2 linked regions of the Schizosaccharomyces pombe genome follow. The gene in region 1 interacts genetically with each later gene. Each region holds a gene or a part of one and is shown on either strand. Other genes may lie near its edges. The genes, in order: spi1 and mog1.

The links.
Region 2: of spi1 (region 1) and mog1, a mutation in one rescues a mutant of the other (synthetic rescue), as found in Schizosaccharomyces pombe (2 studies listed by BioGRID, with this or other methods).

Annotation. Positions count from the first base shown.
Region 1 is NC_003423.3:4,381,064-4,390,707, reverse strand, and holds spi1 (Ran GTPase Spi1), read left to right. Parts: upstream 1-3,346; 5' UTR 3,347-3,391; coding exon 3,392-3,517; exon of another isoform or gene 3,518-3,702; coding exon 3,703-3,889; intron 3,890-3,992; exon of another isoform or gene 3,993-4,023; coding exon 4,024-4,361; 3' UTR 4,362-4,559; downstream 4,560-9,644. Other genes in the region: pob1 (Boi family protein), read left to right, coding at 1-2,365; U2 snRNP-associated protein Uap2, read left to right, coding at 5,151-5,258, 5,321-5,892, 6,004-6,427; chr4 (SEL1/TPR repeat protein1, 3-beta-glucan synthase regulatory factor Chf3/Chr4), read left to right, coding at 7,167-9,068; ribosome biogenesis protein Nop16, read right to left, coding at 9,471-9,644. UniProt on the Schizosaccharomyces pombe protein: GTP-binding protein involved in nucleocytoplasmic transport. Required for the import of protein into the nucleus and also for RNA export.
Region 2 is NC_003421.2:2,246,419-2,255,598, reverse strand, and holds mog1 (Ran GTPase-binding protein Mog1), read left to right. Parts: upstream 1-7,393; 5' UTR 7,394-7,434; coding exon 7,435-8,007; 3' UTR 8,008-8,238; downstream 8,239-9,180. Other genes in the region: cell wall and secondary septum 1,6 branched 1,3-beta-glucan synthase catalytic subunit Bgs4, read left to right, coding at 453-6,320; Golgi rhomboid protease Rbd2, read right to left, coding at 8,684-8,996, 9,151-9,180. UniProt on the Schizosaccharomyces pombe protein: Involved in the Ran-GTPase system for nuclear protein import and poly(A)+ mRNA export. Required for mitosis-to-interphase transition.

The sequences.
Region 1 (9,644 bases):
CGCGGAAGTCACAAGATCCTCTTTATCAAGCAGCCGGTCAACTTCTTCACGATCGGACAAGGACAGTGAAAAGTTGTATTCGAATAATTCCTTGTCTTCAAGTCACTCATCAATCTTAAACGGCCCCCTTGATAGTCTTTCGAAACCTTCGGTCCCTAGTAATTTTAACTCAATGTTTCCATCTTCTAAACAAGAAGGCCCTTCCCCTTTGTTGGATAACCAACCTTCCTCAGATCTATCAAACTTCAACACTATTGATGCCGATTATAATAATGCTTCTGCTTCTACTTCTGCTCCTGCTACTTCAGCAAGCTTGAAAAAGGTTTTGTCAGCTGAGGATTCCGTTAGAGAAACTATTACAGATATTGAAACAGCTTTACAGAATATGTCAACTTCAGCATCTCGTACTCCAAATGACAGTTCACCTTTGCCCTATATTGAAAATCGACCTGCATCCTCTCTTGCTGTTTCCGAAAAAATTCAAAATGTTCCTAACTGGTCTACGGAAGAGGTAGTTGAATGGCTTATGAATGCCGGCCTTGGATCAGTAGCTCCTAATTTTGCGGAGAATGAAATAACCGGTGAAATTTTATTAGGCTTAGATTCCAATGTTTTGAAAGAACTTAACATTACTTCTTTTGGAAAACGTTTTGAAGTTTTACGAAAGATCCAACAATTAAAAGATTCATACGAACAATCTTTATATGAAGAATATCCGCAGTTTGCTGAGCCTATTTCTGTTAGCCAAAGTTCTGATTCCTCCTCTTCTATTCCAAAAAAATCTAATGATGAAGCCGGCGGTTCACCATCAAAATCCAGTCCAACTCGTCCGGGATTTAACGATTATGTTAATCGTCCGACTAGTGTGATGCCTTCTTTGTCAAATATGATTGTTTCACCTGATTTGGACTCATCTCCATCTACCGATTGGAACCAATACGTGATTCCTCCTTTAGCCACACCAAGTTCGCGCAATTCTAAGTCTACGCAATCTGCGGTCCCTGAAAATGTATCTCGTTTTGATTCTAACGAACCTTCGGCCACATCACCGATATTAAAACGTTCATCCCCTACGGACTCAATTTCTCAAAATAGCGGTTTACCTTCTCGTCTTACTGAGCCCATCTCTTCTCCTTCTACCAGTAGCATTGATGTTGATAAGGAAGGAACTTCATTTCCTGGTTTACCTTATCATTCATCTAAGGGCAACTTGTATGCTCCTCAACCATCTTCTAACGTTCCTACTAAATTTACGGGCGGTGCATCGGAATCTTCTTCCGTACCTCCTAGACCTATTCCAAGTGCTATGAAAGGAAAAGCACCAGCTTCAGCTATATCTATCGAAGCTTTGGAAGAATTGGATCCTCCAAAGATTACTACTATTGATGGTGAAAGTCCTTCATCGATAAGTTCTCGACTCCCTAGTAGCAATCTCGAACAAGGGAGTTCAAGTTCTGTTACTAAGTCACCTGAATCAATGCCAGACCCATCAGCAAAAGCATCATCGCCTGTCACAAGCAAAGGGGTGTCCATAAACGAAAAATCCGCTGTTAATAATTATGCCACTCCTCTTTCAAAACCTCAACCCAAAGATACGAAGGGCTCAAAATTAGGAAATACTTTTGTTGCTCCATCTCCGGCTGCTTCCTTACCCGCTTCACCTCCAGTCGGCACTGAGTTAAAGACTCGTCCAACCCTTCGTTCTGTTGCTTCATCACCATTAAATAAAGAGCCAATAGGTAAACGAAAGTCGAAACGTGATATTTTTGGGAGACAAAAGGTTTTACCTACTGGAATTAGTGAAGGATTAAGTAATATACCTGCCAAAGAAGCAATTAAAACGGCGGACTGTCATGGTTGGATGCGGAAACGTAGTGATCGTTACGGTGTTTGGAAGTCTAGATACTTTGTATTAAAAGGAACAAGGCTTTCTTATTACCATTCATTAAATGATGCTTCAGAAAAAGGCCTAATTGATATGACTTCTCATCGTGTTACGAAAACCGATGACATTGTTCTAAGTGGAGGCAAAACTGCTATCAAGTTAATTCCACCTGCTCCAGGTGCCGCTAAAGCAGCAGTTATGTTCACTCCACCAAAGGTTCATTATTTTACTTGTGAAAATAATGAAGAATTACATCGTTGGTCTTCGGCTTTTCTCAAGGCTACTGTGGAACGCGATATGTCGGTACCTGTTTTGACAACGTCGAGAATGCCTACCATTTCACTTAGCAAAGCTAAAGAACTTCGTACTAGGCCTCCTTCTCTATTAATTGATGATGAAAATGAAGCAAATCTCACTTCTTCGATTGGATTAAAGAAGAATGCAAAACAAAAGAATAAGAAATCAAGCAAGCAAAAATAAATACCGACACTCCTCAAAATCCACAAAAGCAAAGTGCAACACATTCCAATTCTAAAACCTGCGCAACAGACCCTGTTCTTAGTATCTGGTTTTCCTTAATCTATTTTCAAACTAAATATCCCTTCAAAATTGAAAACATAGCTAATATGTTTGAATTTTAAATTCGTTGATGCTTTTACTGCGGACATATTTGACACCAATTTAAGAATTAACCGGGCATATTTGATACGCTCATTTCGATTCTGGTTTACCGACATTTACTAGCGGAAGCTATAGTATCTTCATCATGCACATATGGCTTATTTAACGTTGAATTATTTGCTTTTATCTTTTATTGCATAAATTTTTAAAAGCAAATGCATCATTCTATTAATTCAGCATTTTTTTACTGATAATTTTCATTTGTTTGTCGACTTCCTACCACTTTCGTTTGTTTTATTTTTAATCTTTATTTCGATCATTTCGATCCAGCTGAGTCCACGCTGGTAGCGGACCTGGATCATTGCAGAATTCGTAGGCCTTTTACTAGTGATACTAATATAGCTAATGAAAATTTAGAATGTTTGTTTTCTATGTATGGGCATTCCTGGCATTCCTTGGATTAGCAAATACGTTTTCTTGGCTGCGGTTTTTTATCTTTACATGCAATCAAAACCGTGTAGTGACGTCCAAAAAGTAAGCATTGGCTGCTTGTAAGTTGTGTATAAACCCAGAATGTATAAGCAAGTACGCACAAATGTAGCTTTTCGTAGAAGCAATTCTTTTTTGAAATTTCAAAAACGACACTATATCCATTTTTTGGCGATCAACTTCAATAAGAGCAATAGTCAAACTCGTTAAACAATTCGTTAAATCGGCATTAAAAAACTATACCATACACTCCCTTTTCTGTTAAATTCCAATCGACTATCAGGGTTAGGGTTTTGTTATACCCAGGTCTTTTATTCATATAAAAATTACGCACCACTAAAATTTTCCTTTAACCAAACTCTCAGTTAGTTTAGGTGCAACAGAGAAAAGTTTAGTATGGCTCAACCACAAAACGTTCCTACCTTTAAGCTTGTACTTGTCGGCGATGGTGGTACCGGTAAGACCACGTTCGTCAAGCGTCATTTGACTGGTGAATTTGAAAAGAAGTATATTGCAACTTTGGTACGTTTTATGATTTTACTTTATTAGAACAGTTTTTGTATACCGGAAACGATGCCTAGTATCGTAAATAAATGCCATCTTTTTATGAGACATACAGTTATCTGTACTCGTGCATCATCGGTTTTCAGTTACTCTTTTTATGCTTAGATCTTTCGTTTAGAAACAACAGTCTAACATATTTTTAGGGTGTTGAGGTCCATCCTTTGCATTTTCATACTAATTTTGGTGAAATTTGCTTTAATGTTTGGGATACCGCTGGTCAAGAAAAGTTAGGTGGCCTTCGTGATGGTTACTATATTCAAGGTCAATGTGGTATTATCATGTTTGATGTTACTTCCCGTATTACCTATAAGAATGTTCCCCATTGGTGGCGTAAGTGATATTTAAGCAAAAAAAAGCTTTAAATGTTTTTTTTGATACTCATAGACCGCTAGATTTAATGGTTATAAGTATATTGACATTAGCTTTTTTTGACTACTTTAATGAACATTACTAATCGAATGCAGGTGATCTTGTCCGTGTTTGTGAAAACATTCCCATTGTTCTTTGCGGTAACAAAGTTGATGTTAAAGAGCGTAAAGTCAAGGCTAAGGCTATCACTTTCCATCGCAAGAAAAACCTTCAATACTACGACATCTCCGCCAAGTCCAATTATAACTTCGAAAAACCTTTCTTATGGCTTGCCCGTAAGCTGGTTGGCAACCCCAACCTGGAGTTTGTTGCTTCGCCTGCCCTTGCTCCTCCTGAGGTTCAAGTCGATCAGCAATTGTTAGCTCAATACCAACAGGAAATGAACGAGGCTGCTGCTATGCCTTTACCTGATGAGGATGACGCTGATTTGTAAACCAATTTTTTATATCTTTTTTACGTCTCCCTTGCAGATAAAATACATTGGTTCCTGGCCGATGGGACGGTTCCGGTTTCGAAAAAATACCCCTTCTTTTCCTTAAATAAAACTTATTAGTATTTTTCCACTCGAAAGAATTTATTCATTAAGCTATTCCGTTGGGGTTATTTGAAATAGATTATGTTTAGTTTGATATGTTCATATCACTATGTGTGGTAAAAAGTGTAAATCGTATTTTTTAAGTTAATTGTAATTTTGGTAACTTCATTTTTAGAAATACACATTTGTTGCCTGTATGTTTTGTTTCAGTTTAAAATTGATATTGTGTGCGACTGATGGACAAGTTCTGGCATACCAAGGAAGATTTTTTGAGGACTAGGATTAGTAAAGAAACTATGCCTGCCTATTTATTGATTTATCGTCTTAGTTTTTTTGGTAGTTTTGGCATTCAACAACATAGGTATGCGAGTTGCGTGCTGTTAGCCGTAGGCAAATCCCTAAATTGAAAACTAAACTAATACTTTTGACTTGTGTAACGATAGGTTACAAAGTGTATGCGTTAATGCGAAAATTCAATGCTACTGGCATTAATAAGAATATTGACAATCAATACATTAATTGTTTACCTCAATCTCTAAAGAAGCTGTATTTTGTTCCATACATATTATACAAAGCAGTGACATTACTCTACATATATATTGTGGCGTTGTTAGAAATCGTTATGTGAAAACAATCGAGGTCATTTTGAACTTTACCAAGTTATAATCGTTTTAGAGCTCGTAGATTATGTCCAGCCAGCCTTTTTGGGATGAAAGAATACATCGTTGGAGATGTTTAGGATCAGAAGGAAACGAATTAATATATATTGATGAAGAACAAACTTGGAAAGATTATGTACGATGAACAATTTTGCTTTACCATTCCATTGAGACAAACATGACCCCTAACTAAACAAGGATCCTAATAGCTTAAAAATGAATAAGGCCGGCTCAACTGGTGCAGAAGTCAGTGATGTTACGGCGGAGGCTACCGAAGGAAAGGAATCTAGCAACGGCGAAGACCGCCATACCAAACGATTGTACGAATCGACATCGGCTGAAGGGTATCCTTCAGGTTCTCGAAATAAAAAGTCAAAGTCCGAAAATTCAGAAGCCTCGCCCGCCCCAGTAATAAACAAAGCGGTTTACATTCAAGGACTACCACTGGATGTCACGGTTGACGAAATTGAAGAAGTATTCAAGAAATGCGGTGTTATTGCTAAGAATATTGACAATGGTACGCCGAGAATCAAAATCTACCGGACAGAGGATGGAACTCCTAAAGGTGATGCTTTAATTGTATTTTTCCGCAGCGAAAGTGTTGAGCTTGCAGAGCAATTATTTGATGACACTGAATTTCGTTATGGATCTGGGCAAAAGATGCGTGTCCAGAAAGCTAATATTGATTACAAAAAGGAGAAAACGGTGAACAAAGACGTAGGTGGTGCCTTAAAAAAAAAGGCACTTCGTCTCCGACAACAACAAATGCAGTATGTTATGTAATGAATACTCATAAAAAATTTCTCTTTTATTTATTGTTGCATACCAACTTTTTTCTTTCTCGGTTTTATCTTTTAATTTATAGAGCTAACAGGTTTTAGGCAAATTTCATCCTGGGATGATGTTGACGAAGAGGTTGATGATAAAAGAAAAAAACGATTTAATAAAATAGTAGTTTTAAAGCATATTTTTACGCTGGAAGAACTCGATAAAACACCTGAACTTTTAATTGACTTAAAAGACGATATCACTGAGGAAGCTGAGAAATGTGGACGAGTTACTAATGTGGTTTTGTACGACAAGGAGCCTGATGGAGTAGTAACTGTACGGTTTTCAAACAATGAAGAAGCTGAAGCTTGCGTAAGGTTAATGCAAGGCCGATATTTTGATGGCCGGGTAGTGGAAGCTTCAATTTACGATGGAAAGGTTCGGTTCCAGAAAAGTGGAAAGCATACATTAGATGATGAAGAGGACGAGGAAAAACGTTTGGAAAAATTCGCAGATTGGTTAGAAAATTCTAACTGAAATTTTTTAAATTTCGTAACTATGTCTCAGTTGGCACATTATCCATTTATACGTGTGTTTTTCTTGACCTCTTTATTTATTTATTTTTTTCTTCTTTTAAAATAAAATTATCCCTTGTTTAAAGTGACAATGAGCTGGCGAAATATCAATTGTTTTCAATTTCGGATAAAAGAATAAGCTAACAGTTTTATCAGTCATAATAAGGCATTCTTCCTATCATAATTGAATGGTCCCTAATTTTTGTAACACATACAAATACTCTATGAATAGCTAGTTTACATCCTCATGTATAAAGCAGTTTTATTTAGACGTGCATCAATATAAGTTTGTTATTATGCTATGCGCTATTAGTTATTCCTGATATTCATTCATGTTGATTATCGTTGCACATTACTACTACTATCTTTTCTGTTCTTTCCTCTACACCTTGTTACCCCGATTTATGCTGGTTAGGGTATACTGCGCTGGTCAAGGAAGTAACCGTTCCAATGTGTGTATGTGTGTATATTGACAACTCCCACTACCCTTTCATTATAAGATCTACTTTTAGAACGCGATTGAGGAGGAAAAGGATCTAAGTTATAGACATTATTTGTTTTCAAATCTTCCTCTAGTGAAAGTTGCTAGGTTCGCTACAAATCTGTTTTAAAGTTTATAAAGTGGTTAGCTACTCTCTTTTTTTTCACGTTACACGAGTTTTCTTTTGCTAATCTGACTATTCTCCTAAAAAGTCCATTAAATGGATTCAGCATCTTCTATGCGAAATAGAAGCCCCTTGGGTGTGCCGGAATTTTCATATTCTTCTCAGTCGGTGAACAATATACGCGGTATCAAAAGCAGAAACAGGTCCTCAATTGGGCATTCTATAACCGATCCTCAAGTTGCCTCACGAATAAATGCTTTTTACCTCTCCAATGTTCAATCTAGCATTCCCTTTGAAACAGATGCCATTGGACCTGCCTACGGTATTGGCGACATGATTGCACCGGAAATGAACGATACACAAAGTTTGAGTGCCTCTGTAACCAACATGAAAAAAGAGAATTTTTATTCACGACCGAACGTATCCTCTTCTAGCATTCTTTTAACTATTAAACGCGCTACCAGCTCACAAGAAACAAAACGGGACCGTCCTTTGCCGAATATTAGAAACTCAGCTCCTTCAGCAACTCGCTCTCATTCTACACCATGTGTTGCCCCAGGATATTTACGTACATCTAATGAAGCCGCGGACGTTGTATTCCCTCATGAAGAGGCACATTTTTCTAATCACAACCCTAAACCGAATAACGGATCCCCATTGCAAAAGCAGGTAGTAGCGGATTTACCTTTTCCCTTACCAGTATCCGATGAAGAGCAACTTGATTGGATTCGCGCCAATGAAGACCTTGTACATTCTCAAGACATTGACGAAGCATTGGAGTGGGCAGAATACGTCCTTCGATTTACCCAATCTCATCTACCATATCTTCAAACATATGAAAGCGAAAACCTCCATGAAATTAATTATTTGGAATCAATGTGCGAAAACGCGCTCTATAAAATTCGAGAATTTTCAGAGTTAGAGAATGCTAAAGCAATGTATTTCGATGCCTATGTCTACGAGACAGGTGCCTTTGATGTAGAGTCTGATATCCAGCGGGCCTGGGACTTATACTCTTCTTCTGCTAATCTAGGCTATACACGAAGCTTGTACAGATTAGGAGTGTTATTGGAAGATCAAGGTAACCTAGAAGAAGCCGTCGAATATTTTGAAAAGGGTGTTTCAGAGAATGACAGTGCATGCTGTTGGAGACTATCGCTTTTAATTTTGGAAGGGATGTTGGACGGTGTTGGAGAATATGCACACAGGCACGCTAGTGGACTAGAACTTCTCGAACGAAGCGCAGATACAGCTGATGCCGATGTTCCATCCGGACTGTATAGTCATGCTTTGGTGAATCTTCATGAACATCCTGGATTAGTAGATTTAGGGTCTGAAAATATTAGAGTTCCCATAGATGAAGCAACTGCACTTAAAAGTTTTGCGAAAGCTGCTTTTTTGGGTCATTCATCGGCTCAATTACGAATGGGAGCTGTCTATGAGTTCGGAAAATACGGCTGCCCTGTCGTTCCTCGATATTCTTTGTTCTATTACAGTGCTGCCGCTAAAAGGGGGGAAACAGAAGCTGATCTCGCGGTTGCAAAATGGTACCTGAACGGCTCGGATGGTATACCCGTTGATGAGGATTTAGCCTTTATGCATGCTGAAAGAGCCTCTATGGCTGGTAATGCTAATGCTCAATTCCTGATGGGTTATTTATTCGATACAAGAGGTAATACAGAACAGGCAACATACTGGTATAATGAGGCTGCTAAAGCAGGACATAGTGAAGCAATTGAGCGGTTGGCACTTCTAGAGAATCAGATTCAGGAGCCCGAACCAGAAAACATAACTTCATCACAATACCCAAATCAAGACGTTATAAAAGAAATACCTGTTACAGCCTCTGAAACTTCTCCACCGCACGCACCAGCTGTCTCATCTACCCCTGTTACTTCTGCGCCCCCTGTTTCGCAAACAAAAGTTACAAAGGTTTCGGTTCCCAAAAAGACATCTAAAAAGTTTCTTATAAAACATAACAAGTGTATTATATCTTAAGTTGGCAATTTTTGCTCCCTTAGAACATCATTTTTATCATTGGAATCGATTTCTCCCCGAAATTTCGTTTTAGTGTTCAATTGCATTCACATAGCATAATCCGGTTTTTATTTCTCTCATTTGTCCTCGAATTGTCTAACGCTCATTTATAATTGTATAGTTAGCTGATATCCATTTAAGCAATTTCTTTTAAATACATGTTTTCATTCACTACTTTTTCGATAGTATAATACAAAATTGGATCACGAAGAAATACATACTGTGTAATTATTGTTTCATACAAATTAGTCGTCTCAATATTTGCTTTCTAATAGAATTAATAGTATTGAAATAAAAATTTATTAATTTAAATATACCTAGAACACAATCACCATTTTACCGTCCGTATATCACCATTGATGTTTACTTTGTAGCCTTCATGCGAATATACAAATTTTTGAGCTTAGATCCGTTAAATAATTTAGAATTTAATTTAACGTCTTTGGCCATACTTTCAAAATCTTCAGTTCCGTACTTATTTATAAGTCTTTGAATATATGCATGTTCAAATGCACTTAAAGGAAGCATTTTGTTAGA
Region 2 (9,180 bases), on another chromosome or scaffold:
CAGGGAATTCCTTCCTTTTTTTAGAAATTTTCTTTCGTTAATATCTACCCATATATCGCCATTTATAAACTTGACGCTTATCCACCCTTACATACGGTTATCGTCATTTCAACCTGTTAACGGAGTGAATTTCTTTTAGATAAGTCACTTTGATCATTCACGGAGTTTGCTTATCTTGTTTGTTGAAGCTTTTCTCTTTTAGTGTTTGTATTTCTATTTCTTTTCCTTTACTTTTCTGATATTTTATTCCATCCATTAATTGGTTCTTTTTTCATTTTGGCTTACAAGAGCGGATAAGCATTAAGTCATCAGTCCCTCTTTTCAGTTCCTATTGAAATTGTTCATTCTTTTCTTTTTTCTGTTCGTTATTCTTTAACTGGGAACTCCTTTCACCATATTTCTAATTAGTCCTCATTCCTCAATCTATTTACAAGTTTTAAGCATAGTAGAAAATGTCTGGAAATAATGAAAATGTTTCAGGTATTACTGGTCATGATGCTGTCTCGGATGATCAGTACGCTTACGATTCAGAGGTTTATGATGACCAAAATGCATACCAACGCCAGCCTGCTGATGCGTATTCCAATGAGGAGTTTTTGGATCAGGCTGACTACGATTCTATGTATGGAGAGGGTTACAATGGGTATGATTACCCTACTGGTGTAACTGAAAGTTATGGAGATGAATACACTCCTGTCGACACCGCCTCTTCAGGTATCAATCAATATTCCACTGAAAAAGGAAAATTTACTCGTCCTTCAGATGAATACGAGTCTGAGTATTCAGATTACAATGCTCAGCCCTCAGATGCCAACAATTTTTACAATTTGAGAGGCGATGGTAGATACAACGCTTATGATCCTAGTTCCGATTCGTTGGCTAACGTCTACAACAGTGTGCCTTACGGTAGCAGTCCGTATGATTTTAGCAACTCTTCTTTTGTTGGTAATTCGGGCTCAGGTACCCCATTGGATGGCGATAGTGGTTCATTCTATGCCGATAGCGCTAATCTCACAAATCGTGAGCCTTATCCTGCCTGGACTCCTGAAAACGAACTCCCTTTAACTAAGGAAGAGATTGAAGACATATTCATTGATCTAACCAATAAATTGGGTTTCCAACGCGATTCCATGCGTAATATGTATGATTTTTTTATGTGTCTTTTAGATTCTCGTGCTTCTCGCATGACTCCAGATCAAGCACTGCTTACGCTTCATGCCGATTATATTGGTAGTGATATTGCTAACTATAAAAAATGGTATTTTGCTTCTCAGATGGATCGGGAAGATGCAGTCGGTCTTGCTAATGTTGGCATTTATGGTGGTAAAGTTACTTCTATCAAAGAGAAAGGAAAGTTCTTTTCTCGAAACAAAAAAGCCCCTAAAGTTGTTAAGCCTCCAAGGAAGTCTCGCTTCAAGCGCAAGAAGAAAAAGGAGCAACCCGAGGAGGCGGAAGACGAATACATTGATGTTAATACCGATGATTCTTTAGAATCCGCCGAATATCGTTGGAGATCTCACATGCGCTCAATGACTCAATTCGAGCGTGCTCAACAAATTGCATTGTGGCTTTTGTTGTGGGGTGAGGCAAACAATGTTCGTTTCATGCCTGAGGTAATAGCCTTCCTTTTCAAATGTGCTTACGATTATATTATTTCACCTGAGGCACAAAACGTCACTGAACCAGTTCCTGAAGGATATTACTTGGATAATATTGTTTCCCCACTCTACCAATATATGCACGATCAGCAGTTTGAAATTATCAATGGGAAATATGTACGTCGGGAACGTCCACATGACCAGTTAATTGGATACGATGATATTAACCAACTTTTCTGGCATGCTGAGGGTATAGCACGTCTTATTTTTGAAGACGGCACTCGTCTTATTGATATTCCTGCTTCTGAGCGTTTTCATAGGCTTCCAGAAGTTCAATGGAATCGTGCTTTTTATAAAACTTATTATGAATCCCGTTCTTGGTTTCATCTTATTACCAATTTCAATCGTATTTGGGTCATCCACTTTGGTATGTTTTGGTATTTTACTGCTTTCAACTCTCCTACTCTTTACACAAAACCTTTCCATCAGCGCGATGGTCCCAAGCCAACAGGTGCTTCCCAATGGGCTGCTGTTGCTTGTACCTCTGTTGTTTCTTGTATTATCATGGCTGCTGCTTCTTTGTGTGAATATCTTTTTGTCCCCCGTCGTTTCCCTGGATCAAAACCCATTTGGAAGCGTTTATGTATCATTGTTTTAATCGCTATCATTAACTTGATTCCTATCGTCTATATCTTCGGTTTCTCAAGTAAGCATCAACAGCGTAGTGGTCGACGTATCGCTGTTGGTGTAGTTGCATTTTTGATGTCTATTGCTACATACGTCTACTTTTCTCTTGTACCTCTACAAAGTACATTTGGAAAATTGTCCGTGAAAGATTCTCGTAAATACTTGGCAAACAAGTATTTCACTTCAAATTTTGCACCATTAAAATTTGATAACCAAGCACTCTCTGTTATTATTTGGGTCTGTGTTTTCACATGCAAATTTGCTGAATCTTATTTCTTCCTTACCTTGTCTATCAGAGATCCTATTATTGTTTTGAGTACCATGCGACCTTATCTTTGCTCTATTTATTGGGCGGGTAGCAGATTATGTTTTGTCCAACCAAGGATCATTTTGGGTATCATGTATTTTACTGACTTGATTCTCTTCTTTTTGGATACGTACCTTTGGTATATTATTTTCAATACTATCTTCTCTGTTTTAAGATCATTCGTCTTAGGTATTTCGATCCTCACACCATGGAGAAATATCTTTAGCCGTATGCCCCAAAGAATTTATGGTAAAATTTTGGCCACGAATGACATGGAAATTAAGTACAAACCTAAAATTTTAATTTCACAAATTTGGAATGCGATTGTCATTTCTATGTATCGTGAACATTTACTTTCCATTGATCATGTACAACGTCTTCTGTATCATCAAGTTCCAGCTGAAGAAGGACGTAGGACTCTTAGAACCCCTACGTTTTTTGTCTCTCAGGACGATAATATTGTTCACACTACTTTCTTCCCTGCAAATTCAGAGGCAGAGCGTCGTCTTTCTTTCTTTGCACAATCTTTAGCTACTCCCATTCCAGAACCAGTACCTGTTGACAACATGCCTACTTTCACTGTATTGATTCCTCATTATGCTGAGAAAATTCTTCTATCATTGCGAGAAATCATTAGAGAAGAGGACCAGTTGTCTCGTGTCACCCTTTTAGAATATTTGAAACAGCTTCATCCTGTTGAATGGGACTGTTTTGTGAAGGATACTAAGATTCTGGTAGAGGAAAATGCTCCATATGAAAATGATTCTGTCTCTGAAAAGGAAGGTACATATAAAAGTAAAGTTGATGATCTTCCTTTTTACTGTATTGGTTTCAAATCTGCTATGCCCGAGTATACGTTACGTACCCGTATTTGGGCTTCCTTAAGAAGTCAAACGTTGTATCGTACTATCAGCGGTTTTATGAACTATAGCAGAGCTATCAAGCTTTTATATCGTGTTGAAAACCCCGAAATCGTTCAAATGTTTGGTGGTAACACAGATCGTTTGGAAAGGGAGTTAGATCGCATGGCTCGTCGAAAATTCAAGTTGGTTGTCTCAATGCAACGTTATGCAAAGTTCACAAAGGAAGAGTATGAAAATGCCGAATTTCTTCTCAGGGCTTATCCTGATTTGCAAATTGCTTACCTTGACGAAGATCCTCCTGAAGAAGAAGGTGCGGAACCTCAATTGTTTGCTGCTTTGATTGACGGTCACTCTGAAATTATGGAAAATGAACGTCGTCGTCCGAAATATCGTATTCGTTTGTCTGGTAATCCTATTCTTGGTGATGGTAAATCTGACAATCAAAACATGAGCTTACCATTCTATCGTGGTGAATATATTCAACTTATTGATGCTAATCAAGATAATTATCTTGAAGAGTGCCTTAAGATTCGAAGTGTTCTTGCTGAGTTTGAAGAAATGGAGACCGACAATGTTAACCCCTATTCTGAAAGTGCTCGTGAAAGAAATAAGCATCCTGTAGCTATTCTTGGTGCTCGTGAATACATTTTCTCTGAGAACATTGGTATATTGGGTGACGTTGCAGCAGGCAAAGAACAAACATTCGGTACTCTTTTCTCTCGTACACTTGCGCAAATTGGCGGTAAACTTCATTATGGTCATCCAGATTTTCTTAACGGTATCTTTATGACTACACGTGGCGGTGTTTCTAAAGCTCAAAAAGGTTTACACGTCAACGAAGATATTTATGCTGGTATGAATGCTATGCTTCGCGGTGGACGTATCAAGCATTGCGAGTATTTCCAATGTGGTAAAGGTCGTGATTTAGGTTTTGGCTCAATTTTGAATTTCAACACAAAAGTTGGTACTGGTATGGGTGAACAAATGTTATCCCGTGAGTATTATTACTTAGGTACGCAGCTTCAACTTGACCGTTTCCTTTCTTTTTATTTTGCTCACCCCGGTTTCCATCTTAACAATATGTTTATTATGCTTTCTGTTCAACTTTTCATGGTGGTCCTTATCAACTTAGGAGCAATTTATCACGTTGTCACTGTTTGTTATTACAACGGTAATCAAAAGCTTAGTTACGACACTAGTATCGTTCCACGTGGTTGTTATCAATTGGGACCCGTTTTGTCTTGGCTGAAGAGATGTGTTATTTCAATTTTCATTGTGTTTTGGATTTCGTTTATTCCCCTTACTGTGCATGAATTAATTGAACGTGGTGTTTGGAGAGCTACAAAAAGATTCTTCAAGCAAATTGGTTCTTTCTCCCCCTTGTTTGAGGTTTTTACCTGCCAAGTGTACTCTCAAGCTATTACCTCGGATCTTGCATACGGCGGTGCTAGATATATTGGTACTGGTCGTGGTTTTGCTACTGCTCGTTTACCTTTCTCCATCTTGTATTCACGCTTTGCAGTCCCTTCAATTTACATTGGAGCTAGATTTCTAATGATGTTGTTGTTTGGTACTATGACTGTTTGGGTTGCGCACTTGATCTATTGGTGGGTGTCAATCATGGCTCTTTGTGTTGCTCCATTTTTGTTCAATCCTCATCAATTTGATTGGAACGATTTCTTTGTTGATTATAGAGAGTTTATTCGCTGGCTTTCGAGAGGTAATTCTCGTTCTCATGCCAATTCATGGATCGGATATTGTCGATTAACCCGCACTAGAATAACTGGTTACAAACGTAGGGTACTAGGTCAACCAAGCGATAAAATTTCAATGGATACTCCACGAGCAAAGTTTACGAATGTTTTCTTTAGCGATGTGTTAATCCCTGCCTTGTTAGCTGCTGGTGCCATTATCCCTTACTTCTTTATCAATTCTCAGCCTGGAAATCCCATGTTTATCACTGATCCAAATAATCCAAGCCCATATGTTCATGACACAAAGACAGGTACTAATCCCATTTTGCGACTTGTTATTATCTCTCTCATTCCTATTGCAGCAGGCTTTGGTATGTCAGGTTTCTTTGGTGGTATGGCTTGTTGTTTGGGTCCAGCCTTTGGATTGTGCTGTAAAAAGTTTCCATCTATTTTTGCTGCAATTGCCCACACGATCCAAATTTTCATCTTCATTGCTATTTTTGAAGTCTGCTGGTTCCTTGATGGATGGTCATTACCCAAGACTGTGTTGGCCTTCTGTGCTGTTACTGCAATTCATCGTTTTATCTTCAAAATTTTAACACTATTATGTTTATCTCGTGAGGTCAAACAAGATAGTGCTAATATTTCTTGGTGGAGTGGTAAATGGTATGGCAAAGGATATGGCTATCATGCCTTTACTTTGCCTGCTCGTGAATTTGTCTGTAAAGCCATAGAACTTAATTTGTTTGCTACTGATTTCTTCTTGGGTCACTTATTACTGTTTTTTATGCTTCCTGTGATTTGTATCCCATATATTGATCGTTGGCATTCAGTTCTTCTTTTCTGGTTGCGCCCAAGTCGTCAAATTCGTCCTCCTATTTTCTCTACCAAGCAGAATAGACTGCGGAAACGTATTGTTCGTCGTTATTCAGCCTTGTACTTTTCAATTTTGGTAATATTCCTTATTCTTATTATTGTTCCATTGGCAGCTGGTGCAGAAATCCGCCAAGGATTAACTGCTTCTGAGGCTGTTGCCAAGGGTGCTGTTGGATGGAACCAAACTAACTCTTCAATTGGTAGCGGTATCATTCAACCAAGGGACACGAATTATACTGCTAATTATTCTTTCTGGTACGACAGATACCATTTCGAATTCAATACCACTTACTAGATGGGATTATTAGAAAAATCATTTAAAATGAATTTGAAAAGATGCGCTAGTTCGCTATTATATTACACTGATGTTCTGATGAGCTTTCGTCAAGTATCTCAGCAATTTATTAATTTTATTTGTTACACTCATTTCATTCATACATTTCAGCATGTGCTTGGTCCCATCTCTTCGACTTGAGTTATTGAGCTCTGAAGGATAAAAGCAAAGCTAAAGGGTTAACCGTTTATCATTTTTTACTCATACCATCTTTCTATCTACGTTACATTTGCTATTTCACCATTTACAAGTTTGAGATTGATGAGTTTTGTTACAAGCCTTTTCAGGTTACAGTTTGATGGGCTAGGATTTTATGCATATATATACATTTCTTCATTTATCTATATACAAATGAATAAGAATTCCCATTGGTTCACAAAACTTTTACCTATATTATTGCTGGTCAGTTAATGGATATTTGTTTAAAATATAAGGTGATGTAATTGTGTAAAAGTATTGAAGTAGATTATGATACCGTACATAAATTGATCTTTTGGTTGAATACTTATTATCTAGTGAACGTTTAATTTAGGTTTTTCAGATCAATAGAAAGTTTGAAATAACCACTCTAGTGTGCAATTCCATTTCTCTTTTGTATCACACAAGTGGAAGGCTGAACAACTAATCAACTTAATCGTAAAAGTTATCAGACGCCCTATCCTTGTATTAGTTATGGATATCTGAATGGACTCATGATTACAAGATTACGAGCGTCCTTTCATCCATTTGATATACTAGTTGTCAAAACGATATTAGAAACTATATATGTGTACAAAATTTTATTTTTAACATATCATTTTCATTAAAAATCATCAATTTGAATTTCTTTTTATTTTAATTTTAAATCAGTTTAGTAGTTACCGTGCAGTGCGTAAATATTGAAAATTGAATCTAGGCTCATTTAAAGCGTTTTACTAGCGATAAATATAATAATGAAACATAAAATAACACGCACTAACTTGTTACCGCAGTCGAATGAAATGGAGTGAAAATAGGAAAGAATCCTTTTGTGGTTCGAATACCAATCTGGTTCTTGAGACAAACAAATCTATTAGGTTTTTATATTTTTATAGTAATGGTACAGCTATTCGGTGGGGCTCTTTGTGCTGATTTCCCTCCTAAATTTCTCGATGCTAGCGTTTTGCGTCAGATTCCTGACAACCAAGAGGTGTTTTTGCAAGATTCCAAGGAAAACCTAACAGTGATCATTGAGCTTTTGGAAAAAATTGAGAAGCCATTTGATGGAAGTGTGGCAGCTTACCATTTCAATAGCATTGCATTCGATAATGATGCATCTCAAAGAGTAATTTGGAGAGACAAAAGTCTTGGTGAAGACGACTTTGAGGGCATGAGAAGCGAAAAGGCTAGTGGATCTTCTGTACAAGGTTGTCAGAGGGTCCTTGAAAAAGGAAAGCGAAATCCTGAATCCGCTACCAATGTGGCAATCTTCGTGAATGTGATAACTTTGATTGACTTTCAAACAGATATCGTAATCTCCGTAAATGCTCCTTTACCTAACACTTCCTCAGTTCCCTCTTCTGTTGAAAACATTCCCCCTTCTGATCAAAGCATCGTTCGCGCTGCTCTCGAAACAATACAGCGAGTTACTCGATCTCTTGTACTTGTCGATAAAACAGTATTTGCTTAAAGGATGATGGACATAGGCAAGCAAATTAACTAGCCCACAACACTTAATTAAGATTTTCATCTAGGGAAATACTTTTCAAGTTTTATTTTTCTTTATCCGAAAGGAATTGTTTCTCTTATTTATAAAAACCGGTTATTCCAACTTGTATGAAGGGTTTTAATAAAAACATCTGATACTTGATAACCGATTAGCAATGGTTTTCACTTTTTCTGCTATTATTTTAATTTTCCCATTCTTCCATTGTTAATAGTATAAGTTTCACTGTGTCTTTACAGTTTAATGTTTTATGATTTGAGAGTACAACGTAAAACGCTAGTTTCCAAAGAATAACGGAAATTACAATTTCAAGGTGTTTTGATTGTACAGCTTTTGTCCTTTACACTGCCGCTGTAGGACAGTGGTGATTAAAACAAGTTAATCATAAAGAATTATTAAACATTAAAATACTTTCTAATTGTCCCTAACTCCGTGCAAGTAAAGAACAAATATAGCGAATGAAACAATCTTTATGATTGAAACCTGTAAACGACTGACTAGAAAATACTGAATAAGAATTACCAAAAGATAGAAGATCTCTTCATTGAGAGGAGCTTTTCCACCCTTTGCAATAAAGAAAACAAACATTTAGGATATCATCATACGAAGAAGAACAGAAAAGAAGTAAAAGACAGAAAGTTCATCCCCCAAGACGGGTTCCTTTTCCGGGGAAAGAAGAAAAGGTCGACAGAGGTTCCGCAATGGGGAGTTGAGCATGCGACAGTTGATCAAAAGAGTGATAGTTTTTTACCCAAGACTGGAAGATTGGGTCCACATTTTGAGCCCAGCTTTTTAAGGGGATAGAACCAAGCATGAAAGGAGTACAATACCCCATAACAGCTCCGGATGCATGCCCGATAAAGCTAGCTTTTGGAACCAATATGGTAGTCATAATTAGGTAAATAATAGGAAAACAATATGCAGGAATGCTGAAAAGATTAAAAAAGCTGATTCTAAAAAATAAGTTAATAAACCGCCATCATTTAAAAGACAAGAGAGGTTCGACGTTTGCAAAAAATCATACAAACCAGGTTGTTTCTTAACATTGTGAGGAAAGAAGACGTGTGGAAGTATGCATCTGCAACCATAATTATAAGAAATGCTTACAATCGTTGTGGAGAGTGAACACAGGAAGCA